Macaca mulatta: one gene and its partners. The protein of the gene in region 1 purifies or fractionates together with the protein of each later gene. This does not show direct contact. Links are inferred from orthologs where the notes say so. Each region holds a gene or a part of one and is shown on either strand. Other genes may lie near its edges. The genes, in order: WDR77, CLNS1A and GAR1.

Evidence for each region.
Region 2: the proteins of WDR77 (region 1) and CLNS1A purify together in Homo sapiens (affinity purification with mass spectrometry; 6 studies listed by BioGRID and IntAct, with this or other methods). This does not show direct contact. The link is inferred for Macaca mulatta from reciprocal best matches to the Homo sapiens genes WDR77 and CLNS1A.
Region 3: the proteins of WDR77 (region 1) and GAR1 purify together in Homo sapiens (affinity purification with mass spectrometry; 3 studies listed by BioGRID and IntAct, with this or other methods). This does not show direct contact. The link is inferred for Macaca mulatta from reciprocal best matches to the Homo sapiens genes WDR77 and GAR1.

What each region holds. Positions count from the first base shown.
Region 1 is NC_133406.1:128,801,739-128,804,829, reverse strand, and holds part of WDR77 (methylosome protein WDR77), read right to left. Parts: intron 1,105-3,091; coding exon 1,034-1,104; intron 906-1,033; coding exon 851-905; intron 378-850; coding exon 306-377; intron 1-305. UniProt on the Homo sapiens protein: Non-catalytic component of the methylosome complex, composed of PRMT5, WDR77 and CLNS1A, which modifies specific arginines to dimethylarginines in several spliceosomal Sm proteins and histones.
Region 2 is NC_133419.1:78,053,727-78,057,382, forward strand, and holds part of CLNS1A (methylosome subunit pICln), read right to left. Parts: intron 2,339-3,656; coding exon 2,202-2,338; intron 1-2,201. UniProt on the Homo sapiens protein: Involved in both the assembly of spliceosomal snRNPs and the methylation of Sm proteins.
Region 3 is NC_133410.1:119,125,065-119,128,720, forward strand, and holds the end of GAR1 (H/ACA ribonucleoprotein complex subunit 1), read left to right. Parts: intron 1-854; coding exon 855-996; intron 997-2,405; coding exon 2,406-2,474; intron 2,475-2,843; coding exon 2,844-2,857; 3' UTR 2,858-3,161; downstream 3,162-3,656. UniProt on the Homo sapiens protein: Required for ribosome biogenesis and telomere maintenance. Part of the H/ACA small nucleolar ribonucleoprotein (H/ACA snoRNP) complex, which catalyzes pseudouridylation of rRNA.

The DNA of each region.
Region 1 (3,091 bases):
GAAAAGAATTCGCTGTATAGCAATCCACTTGCTTTGTGGCTCACTGACTTATAGCCATGCCCAGAATATAGGAGCTAGATCCATCAATCAAAAATCAAATCCACTGGGAAAATAATCATGTTCTCCAAAGCTACACTAAAACTACCTTGGCATCACCCCACCTCCCCACCCTCAATTCATAATTCATCTAGTGTCCATGAGGGCTAAGACTGAGCAGCAAGGGCCTTGTGCATTGTGGAGTCAGCTCTTTCTCTTTCCTCCTCCCCTTTCCCAGAGTCAATATGAAGTCTGACATGCTGCCTTACCAAAGACAAAGACTTCACTTTGCTGAGGATGCCAAGCCAGTGAGGTAGGAAGGTAGCCAGGCGCACTGCAGCCTGCAAAGAAGAGAAAAGGGTCTGGACAAAAACTCAAAAGAGTCCAGAAGAAGCGGTTTCTCAAATGACATCACTCTAAATCCTGGGAGCACCTTTATTTGATTTCCCAAACCCTGCTAAGGCAGCAGTGTCCTCATCCTTGAGCCTCATAACCATTTATCCACCAGCTTCCTGCCCTTTCTGGACATGAGTCACAGGCAAGTTTCAGGCACAAATCATGAAGATAACAATTCTGGCCCCTTTGTCCTCCCGTCTAATAAAGTAAATCAGCCACCCAGGAACTGGCCCTTCCTCTTGGTATGCATTGCAAGAATGGGGTTAGCAGAGTCTCAGTGGAAAAGAAGGAGATTATGTCACTCATGTCACAGTAACTACACTGGGCATCTGGCAACTATGCTTTGACACTGGCCAAAGAAATTCTCTTCTATCAGGGTTCCAAGTACTACTCTCCCACCAATGAATCTCAGACTCACCAATCTGTGATGCTGGCTTGGGACAGCGGGTATCCCAGAGTAAAATTCTGTTGTCCTAGAGGAAGGCGGAACAGAAAAAGGATCTCACAGTCCAAAGCGCTGCAGGCCAGAAAGTCTCCACACTAGAGACTTTGGCCTATGGAGGGCTGGAGTGTGTTTAGGGAAGAAGGAGCTATCTCTTACCTCGCTGCATGAAAGAAACACAGAGTCCTTGTGAGGAGAGGCAGCAACACAAGTGACCTGTGCAGCATGAGCTATAAAGGAGAGAGAAAGAGAAACATGATAGAAAACAAGCTGAAGCATTACAAGAGGGCCAGCCCAGGAGTAATCAAGGTGCAGGAGGGAGGGAGGGCTGGTCTCATGATGCAATTTAACAAATTTTGTGGGAGATTATGGATCAGACAAAAGCTAAGAGGAGAAGTTTATACACTTATAAAACCTAAAAAGCCTTGTAAAAAAAAATGTATTAGTGAAAACAATGAATGAGAAATTAGGAGCTTACTAAGAATAACAAAGGAATTTCCAGTTAAGGCATCTTAGACGTGAGATCTAAATAATTCTAGAATAGCAGTCTTCATACTGGAGCACACATACCTCCAAGTAGTATACAAAAACTTTCGAGGGAGTTCTGGGCGCTAATAGTATTAAGAGAGCCAATTTCTCTAATGTTCTCTTTCTTAAAATTGAACTGCCTCTATTTTCACAATCACCCTTCTTCCACTTTAAAGAAAGAACACATACCTGTCATTCATCCCAGATCTTTCCATGGTACAATGCTCAGGGGTATAAAAACATAAGGGTTCTAAACTAAGGCACAAAAGCGGCTTTTCCCTAAGAACCGAAGAGCAAAAAGAAAGAGCATCTAGGTAAAATTCAATGAAGGGGGCGCTGATCTTGTTTCAGTCACACCACAAACACAAGTATGGTTCTGTAACTTCACTCTGTTTCTGTCTAATAACGAGAACTAAAACATATGACAGATCGTTGTGATACGGACATATTCAACAACTTTATCTGAATTTAAAAACAAAGTCAGACTTTTTCTGACAGAAAATTTAGTCTAACTTGGTCCACTGGCTTTACAATGCAGATTGGCTTTTGCCAGTTAGGCTATTTGGTAGACATCTGTACAAACTAAATAGGATTAACCTGCAAACCTAAAATTTGGACAAATATACGCTTGAAATAAGTATATAATAAATTATATGCCAGAAATTACCTTCTCTGCAACTACTTAAAAAATTTCTTTAGGTATCAATTTTAAAATGTATGAGGGGGCACAGATTTTCAAAATTGTTTTAGGAGGTCTACATGTAAAAAACTTTAAAGTCACTGCTACATGTTAATTGGAAACTGTGGAAACCTTTTCTACAGTCATTTTACCAGACTTTCCCAGGTAGTCTGAATGTGGCCCTTCCCTGAGGCAGAAGGATGGAACTAAACCAGCTTCCATAGTTCTTTCCTAGCCCTAGAATTCACAGAAAGTCAACAGAATAAGAAGTAAGAAAAGGAATTTATTGCTCACTTGAAAAAAGCAAAGCTCTGGGACAAGCATCATGGTGGTAAGGAAAGATGAAGAATACATGGTTCCTCTACCCTCAAAGGTTTTGGGGCAGGATGCAATGGCTCATGCCTGTAATCTCTCAGCACTCTGGGAGGCCAAAGCGGGAGATCCCTTGAGCCCAGGAATTTGAGACCAGCCTGGGCAACATAGCAAGACTCTGTCTCTACAAAAAATTAAAAAATAATAAAGGATTTGGAATTCAGCAGGGGGAATAAGACACAAACACAAAGAATAACAGAAAGGCTGCATGGCAGAAATGCTGAAAAAGAGTTAGCATTAACCAGGAAAGCACATATGTCTACGCAATAAAAGGCAAATATAATAGACATAGGGCATTGACTTTTTTTTTTCTCTCCTGAAACAGCTTCACTCTGTTGCCCAGGCTGGAGTGCAGTGACGTGATCTCGATTCACTGCAACCTCCGCCTCCTGGGTTCAAGCGATTCTCGGGCTTCAGCCTCCCAAGTAGTTGGGATTACAGATGTGCACCACTATGCCTGGCTAATTTTTGTACTTTTTAGTAAAGACGGGGTTTCGGCATGTTGGCCAGACTAGTCTCTAACTCCTAGGCTTCATATGATCTGCCTACCTCAGCCTCCCAAAGTGCTGGGATTTCAGGTGTGAGCCACTGTGCACAGCTGGGCATTCAACATTATTGTAAAACTATTTGCAAGTGAC
Region 2 (3,656 bases), on another chromosome or scaffold:
CCAACACAGTGAAACACCGTTCCTACTAAAATACAAAAAAAAATTAGCCAGGCATGGCGGTGGGTGCCTGTAATCCCAGCTACTCAGGAGGTTGAGGCAGGAGAATCGTTTGAACCCGGGAGGCGGAGGTTGCAGTGAGCTGAGATCGCGTCACTGCACTCCAGCCTGGCAACAGAGCAAGACTCCATCTCAAAAAAATAAAAAAAACTGGAGAATTAGTGAAATAAATGTGACCCAGGAAGATACTAATTTCTAGTAAGATAGGAAATCCTGCATATTTTACTAAGAAAGGATTAATCATAATCACATCAATTACAATCAAATAATCATATAGACTCTGTAAGATTATAGAGCACATATTTAAAACACACACCCTAAAACCTACTGAACTGCTTTTTCCTAGTTTAGGACTTACAGCATTTGCATTTTAAACAAGCTTCCCACGTATTTCTAATATGTATCCGTTAGTCTTGAGTTTGAGAACCAGAGACCAATATACTCCCTTAACCTTTCTGGATGAAATTCAGGCTCAGAGAGATGCAAATGACTTGCCTAGCAAGTTAATGACAGAGTTTTTACTTTTTTTTTTTTTTTCAACAGAGTCTCGCTCTGTTGCCCAGACCGGAGTGCAGTGGTGCAATCTCAGCTCACTGCAACCTCCACGTCCTGGGTTTAAGCGATTCTCATGTCTCAGCCTCCCAAGTAGCTGGGATTACTGGCGCCCGCCACCAGGCCCAGCTAATTTTTGTATTTTTAGTAGAGACAGGATTTCACCATGTTGGCCAAGCAGGTCTCCAACTCCTGACTTCAGGTGATCCGCCTGCCTCGGCCTCCCAAAGTGCTGGGATTACAGGTGTGAGCCACTGTGCCCGGCCTAATGACAGAGTTTTCTTATTCAATGTGCTTTTGCCCTTTATTATTAAACACTATTTCCTAAGCCTTTCTCTTGATATGTACCTTTCCCACCTCCAATGCCCGTCACTATTTAGGGCCATTTCACACCAGCATTTGGAGCTGACTGGCAAGAGTACCTCTAAGGTTTTGCATTTCTGGAAATCAATGAATGCTTTAAACTAAACATGACACATGATATTCTTAGTTATAAAATCATAGTTGCATTTACTTAGATGAAAAGCAAATTTTGTATCTAATGCCTTATTAGGAAGTCTTACTACACTACTACACCCCAGGGTTAACAGCCTTTTACTTTTCCTAATCCTCTTTTTCAGACTTCACTAGATTTTTAAATGTCTTTGAACCTTTTCCAACGGCAAGAATTGGAAATCTTATAACAAAAATATTTTCAGATAGCTGAATCAGTCATTACCACTTAATGAGGCAGGGCTTGCCAAAAGTCCTAAGAATTACTAAATAGTGTCACAACTGAATATAAATGATCATATTATTATATCTGGAACCATATTAAAATCCCAATTTGAAAGAGCAATAGTCTTATAGGTAAATAAATGGGATTGTCTCTTACACACTGCTTCAAAGAAAAGCAACCCATTATTTTAAACATGAACATCTTCACTAGATTTTTACAAGTCTTTGCAATTATCCCAAAGCAAAACTTGAAAATCTTTATATCCTACAGTTTCTCAACCTTGGCACCACTGACATTTGGATGGAATAATTCTTTGTTGTGGGGGACCATCTGCGCATAGCAGAATATTTAGTACAATAATAGCACCCTTGGCATCTAACTGCTAGATGCCAATAATATCCTTCCTCTTTCAACCAAAATGTCACTGCCAAATGTGGGGGAATGGTGAGGCTGGTGGAGGTCTATGAAAAATATATTCCCCCTACACCCACTGATAACCACTATTGTAACAAAACAGAACAGTTCTATCTTAAATTCTCAGAAGCACAGGGTATACTGATCCAAGTCTCTAAGGGTGCCTTTTAAAAAGAGAAAGGCAGAATAAACAGTGAAACTTTAGAGGAAAGTTAGAAATACATATCCATAATAAATGAAGAATTCTAAGTGTAAATATATAGAAATATATACAGACACACACAAACGTCCATTATGAAAACTTCAACTGTCCAAGTTGCTGTGCTGAAATTTTGCTTAATAAACTACTATCCAAAATGAGTCAATGGCCTCAATGTTACATTGATTATTATCAAACACTCTTTTTTAAAATATAATTTGCTATCAAAGGAGGCATTAGATTAAATTACACCATACATACCTTCAAATTTGGCATTCACCATAACATACAAATGCTCTCCTAGACAGTCACTTCGGTCCCTGGATAATGCATGTAAACTAATAGTGGGGTATTCCAGTGAGAATCCTAATCCAGAACCATCTAACCAAGACAGGCGGCTGAAAAACATGTTTTAAGTAGATTAGTTTTAGAAAGTAAATCCTAATGTAATATCACAAAGTACATAAAAGTTCAGCTTGGACACCTTTATGCATATAAATAAATTCAAGCTTACTTTTTTAGAAATGTTCATAAAATAAGAAAATTCAGGCCAGGCGCGGTGGCTCAAGCCTGTAATCCCAGCACTTTGGGAGGCCAAGACGGGCGGATCACGAGGTTAGGAGATCGAGACCATCCTGGCTAACATGGTGAAACCCCGTCTCTACTAAAAAATACAAAAAACTAGCCGGGCGAGGTGGCCGGCGCCTGTAGTCCCAGCTACTCGGGAGGCTGAGGCAGGAGAATGGTGTGAACCCGGGAGGCAGAGCTTGCAGGAAGCTGAGATCCGGCCACTGCACTCCAGCCTGGGTGACAGAGTGAGACTCCGTCTCAAAAAAAAAAAAAAAAAAAAAAAGAAAATTCAGTAGTGGAAATCGAATTTTCTTTAAGATCAATTCTGTTAAAGTCTCTTTCCCTCTAGCTATAAATTCAAACAGACTTGAAATTCCATTTTCCTCAGTCACATGTATGTTTCTATGACTTTCAAGCTTCTTCTTTTTTGATATGTCTTCAAATACCCTCTTTGCTTTTGCAAATCCTCCCCTCTTCCATGAGGCCTCCCTTCAACTACACCAGTCCATAAAGACCTCTTCTTTTTCTGATTTGCAAATTTTAGTACTTAACTCTGTGGTAGTGAGTCTTATATGTGCCCTTATGGAATATGAGCTATTTGACAGCAGGACTCGTCACATTCCTTTATTTAACATTCTTCAAAACCATTAACAAAGAGCTCAGGAGGTAAGTATGCAATAAATCCTTGGTAATCATTCGTTTCTCCATGAATCCTACACTAAAAGACATAAATGGGTGTCATCACACTCACCGCAACTCAGGGAATATTTATTACCTTGAGAGACAGACTCCCTGAAGCCTCTCATTTATTCAACATCTTTAAGAGAAAGCCACAGAAAAGCTAGGCCTAGTTTTCCCTCAAATGTGGTCAAATGCAAATATTTTATTGGTGTACCAAAGGAAGCACATCACCAAAATCAGTATGTTGAGCTTTCAGTAGAGGCTAACTAATTTTCTGATAATATTTCATCCATCTGTACCACTTAGCAGAAAAAAAGTAAAAAATCCTGAAGAAGCTAAAAAAAAAAATGTTAATGCAATACAGTGGTTGCCTAGGGCTAGAAGGAAATAGGAATGTCTGCTAATGGGTACCAGGTTCTTTTTGGGGTGAAGAAAATATTCTAAAATTGTGGTGATAATTGCACG
Region 3 (3,656 bases), on another chromosome or scaffold:
ATGTCCTCTTTAACCCCAGTTATAGGATGTGTATAGTTTTTGTATATCCTTCATTACTTTGTGTGTTCAGAAGATAGTTACCCTTTTGATCTTTATTAAAGACTTGAAACAGCTTGTATGCGAATGCTTTATTTTGAATTTTAATGCTATGTTTTAAATAGTTTTATTTTTCTTACGGCAGTTCTGTTGAGTGGAAATGTTAAATAATCTATTTCTAAAGAGAAATGAGATTGAATTGGTCTTGATTTTTTTATATGCATGTAATGCTTATTGTGTGCCAAAGTGCAAGTGCCTTATATACATCACTTTTTTGATCATCACACAAACATGTGAGATAGATACTCTATTCTCTACATTTTACAGATAAGGAAACTAAGGTAAACTAACACAGGAACAGAAAACCAAACACCACATGTTCTCACTCATAAGTGAGAGTTGAACAGTGAGAACACATGGACCCAGGGAGGGGAACATCACACTCCTGGGCCTGTCAGGGGGGTGGGGGGAAGGGGAGGGAGAGCATTAGGGCAAATACTGAATGCATGCGGGGCTTAAAACCTATATGATGGGTTGATAGGTGCAGCAAACCACCATGGCACATGTATACCCATGTAACAAACCTGCTCGTTCGTTCTGCGCATGTATCCCAGAACTTAAAGTAAAAAAAAAAAAAAAAAAGAAAAAGAAACCTAAGGTAGTGAGAAATTAAGTCCCTGCCCAGAGATACATAGTAGAAAGTGGTAGGGTTGGGGGGGTTTGAACCCAGGCAGTTTTGACTCTATCATGTAGCTTCTTAATGATTATACTCTACTGTCCCCCAAGTCGTACACTAATTGCTTTTATTATGTCTCCAGTTTTATATAGACCCATATAAGCTGCTGCCACTCCAGAGGTTTTTACCTCGACCTCCAGGTGAGAAAGGACCTCCAAGAGGTGGTGGCAGGGGAGGCCGAGGAGGAGGAAGAGGAGGAGGTGGCAGAGGTGGTGGCAGAGGCGGTAAGTTACTTGGGGAAAATTTCTGATGAAATTTCAAAGTCATAGCTGATTAATATAATACAATTTAGCTTTGTACATAGCAAACCCTCCCTTATGGTTCTTTTTATTAAAGCTGTTTTCAAATATTGGCAGATTGTCCATAATAATAATGCTTCATTTCAACAACTTGCTTAAAAAGAAAAAAATCTACTAAAGTATACTTTTGAGGGACTTCATTTCTTTGGGTTATTCATGTTTTCTTGGGCATTTTAATAAACCATAGGATTATCTTAATTTTAATTTCTTAGTTAATATCATTGAGTGTAGACTGCATACTGAAAGCTGGTCATACATTCTTTTAATTTCCGTGTATATTCTTTTAATACTCAGCAAAAGCTTTTGAGATAGATGATATCCTTATTTTATGAATGAGGAAATGGAGACTTACAGAAATTAATTTCCCCCGGTCAAACAATTGGCAGACCCAGAATTAAAATGCATATTTTCTGATGTCGTGTCAAGAACTAATAAATTCATTGCTGTGATCTCACTGTTTAGATGTACGCCTTTCCCCCAAGGTTTTGGCACATTCATCATTATGGGCAGCTAGGTGATCAGCAGGGCTCTAGGGAGTGAGACTGCCATGCCCTGGGAGTAGGAGGACAGGGAGTGATGAGGTAATGGGCAGAGCCAAAGTGGAAAGGGAGAGGAACTGAAAGTTGGGCTTAGACAGCTTTTGTTACTGGAGCCAAAAAAGAGAAGGAATGCTTTACTTTGGCATCTCTCAATTTAATCATCATTTCACTCTATAAAGGTACTTTTTTGTGTCCGTATAGGTAGGAAAATTTTCAGGGGTACCTTCTTGAGAATTTGATGAATAGAGATTCCCCTGTTCTCATTTGATGTTGAGTATCATTTAACATTTCAAAAAATTCACAACTATCTTATTTTTTTTAAATCTTATGTAGCTCAGTTAACCTTAACTATCATATTTATTATTGTGCCCCCAGAACAAAAGCACCCATATCTGCCATCCGTTGTTCTTAGGATACAAAGCCTTAGTTCCATCAAACTATCCTTAGTGGAATCAAAAAGTATTTATCATAAGCAAGAGCTAAGGCAATAATCATACATTTAACAAGACTGAATCATACTTTAAAGTAACAAGTTTTTCTAATTTATTGAAATTGAATAATCTGGGGATTTAACCTGTTGCCCAGTTGGTAAACTACTAGTTTCTTCATTTTTGTCTTGTAAAATTTTTTCTGTGATAAAATATGTGAATCTATATTTATTCATTATAATTATAGTTATTGTATTGATCTTTGTAGACTTATCAGTATAAGAGGTTATATAGTTAATAACTGTTAATGTTTATTATTTATCTGCTATTTAAATATTTTGCATTATTATTTAATAAATGTTTTTAGGTGGTTTTAGAGGTGGAAGAGGAGGTGGAGGTGGAGGCTTCAGAGGAGGAAGAGGTGGTGGTTTCAGAGGTAGGTATTATCTTTAAGTTGCTTAATTTTTAGAATTGATATTATCTGGCATTTTGTTTTTGCTTAAGTTTAATTTTTTCTGCCAGCAAGTATATGGAACACTATGGTGTTCTTTGCTTAGCCTAATTTGTGGTTTCATTTTATATCACTTGTTTTTGCGTTTTCAGTTTTTTAACCTAATTCTAATTTGTTTTGCTTTATTATTAATTTGAAAAAAAAGGTGTATATGAATCTGACAGTTACATTTGGTAAAGTATGGTTGCTAAACATTATAGGAACTAATGCTGATTTTAAACTTGAGATTTACGTTATAATACTATTAAAAATCCATTTTCTGTGCCCTTAATACTTTAATTTTCTCTTAATCAGGAAGAGGACATTAAGTGAAACAGTTGACAGACATCACCAGTTGACTTCTGTATTAACCTGCATGATCTGTTTCTACTGTGGATTGGAAACTTGGTTCTTTAGCAAGTCTTGAAGATCTTGGTCATTTTATGACAATGGATCAAAAATGTTAGCATCATGCAAAGCAACGGAATAGTGAATCTTGCTCTAGAAGAGCATGAACAAATCTTTCTAATGTTTTGTACAGTGCCTGGCACTTTGTGGGTGCCTAATAAATGGACGGGAGTTTTCATTTGAAGCATATTTGAATTTTTAAAATAAAGTGTTTTATTCCCTGAAGTTATTTAGAGTGTGTTTATTAAATGAAACCCATTTTTTGAAGTAGAAAGGAATAACTAAAACTTAAACATAGTGAATTGCAGATCGAAAAAAGGATTTATTTGTATTACTGATCTTTTAAAAAATAGGCTGCTGTAGCAGTACTTTAAGAGTATTTACAAATTAACACCCCCTTTCAAAACCCTGGCCTTTTATGTATGAGAAGATAGCTCTGTATTTCCCTTTTGTATTTTAATACATAAATCAGTTAAGCTGTTTCTCTAATTGCAATTAATAATTGATTTTAAAATTTTCCATATTAGTAACGTGTTAAAGATGGAGTAGCTCTGTTCAAGTGAAAAACTAGCAAGAAATTTTTAAAAAGCAGTTACTTTTTCTCATCCAACATGAATATTAAAAGTTTTACTGAATGTTATTTTTACTTTTTTAAAGGGACTCTAAAAGTTTAAGGTGTTATTGACTGCATGTGAATATTTGATTGCATACTACATGTTC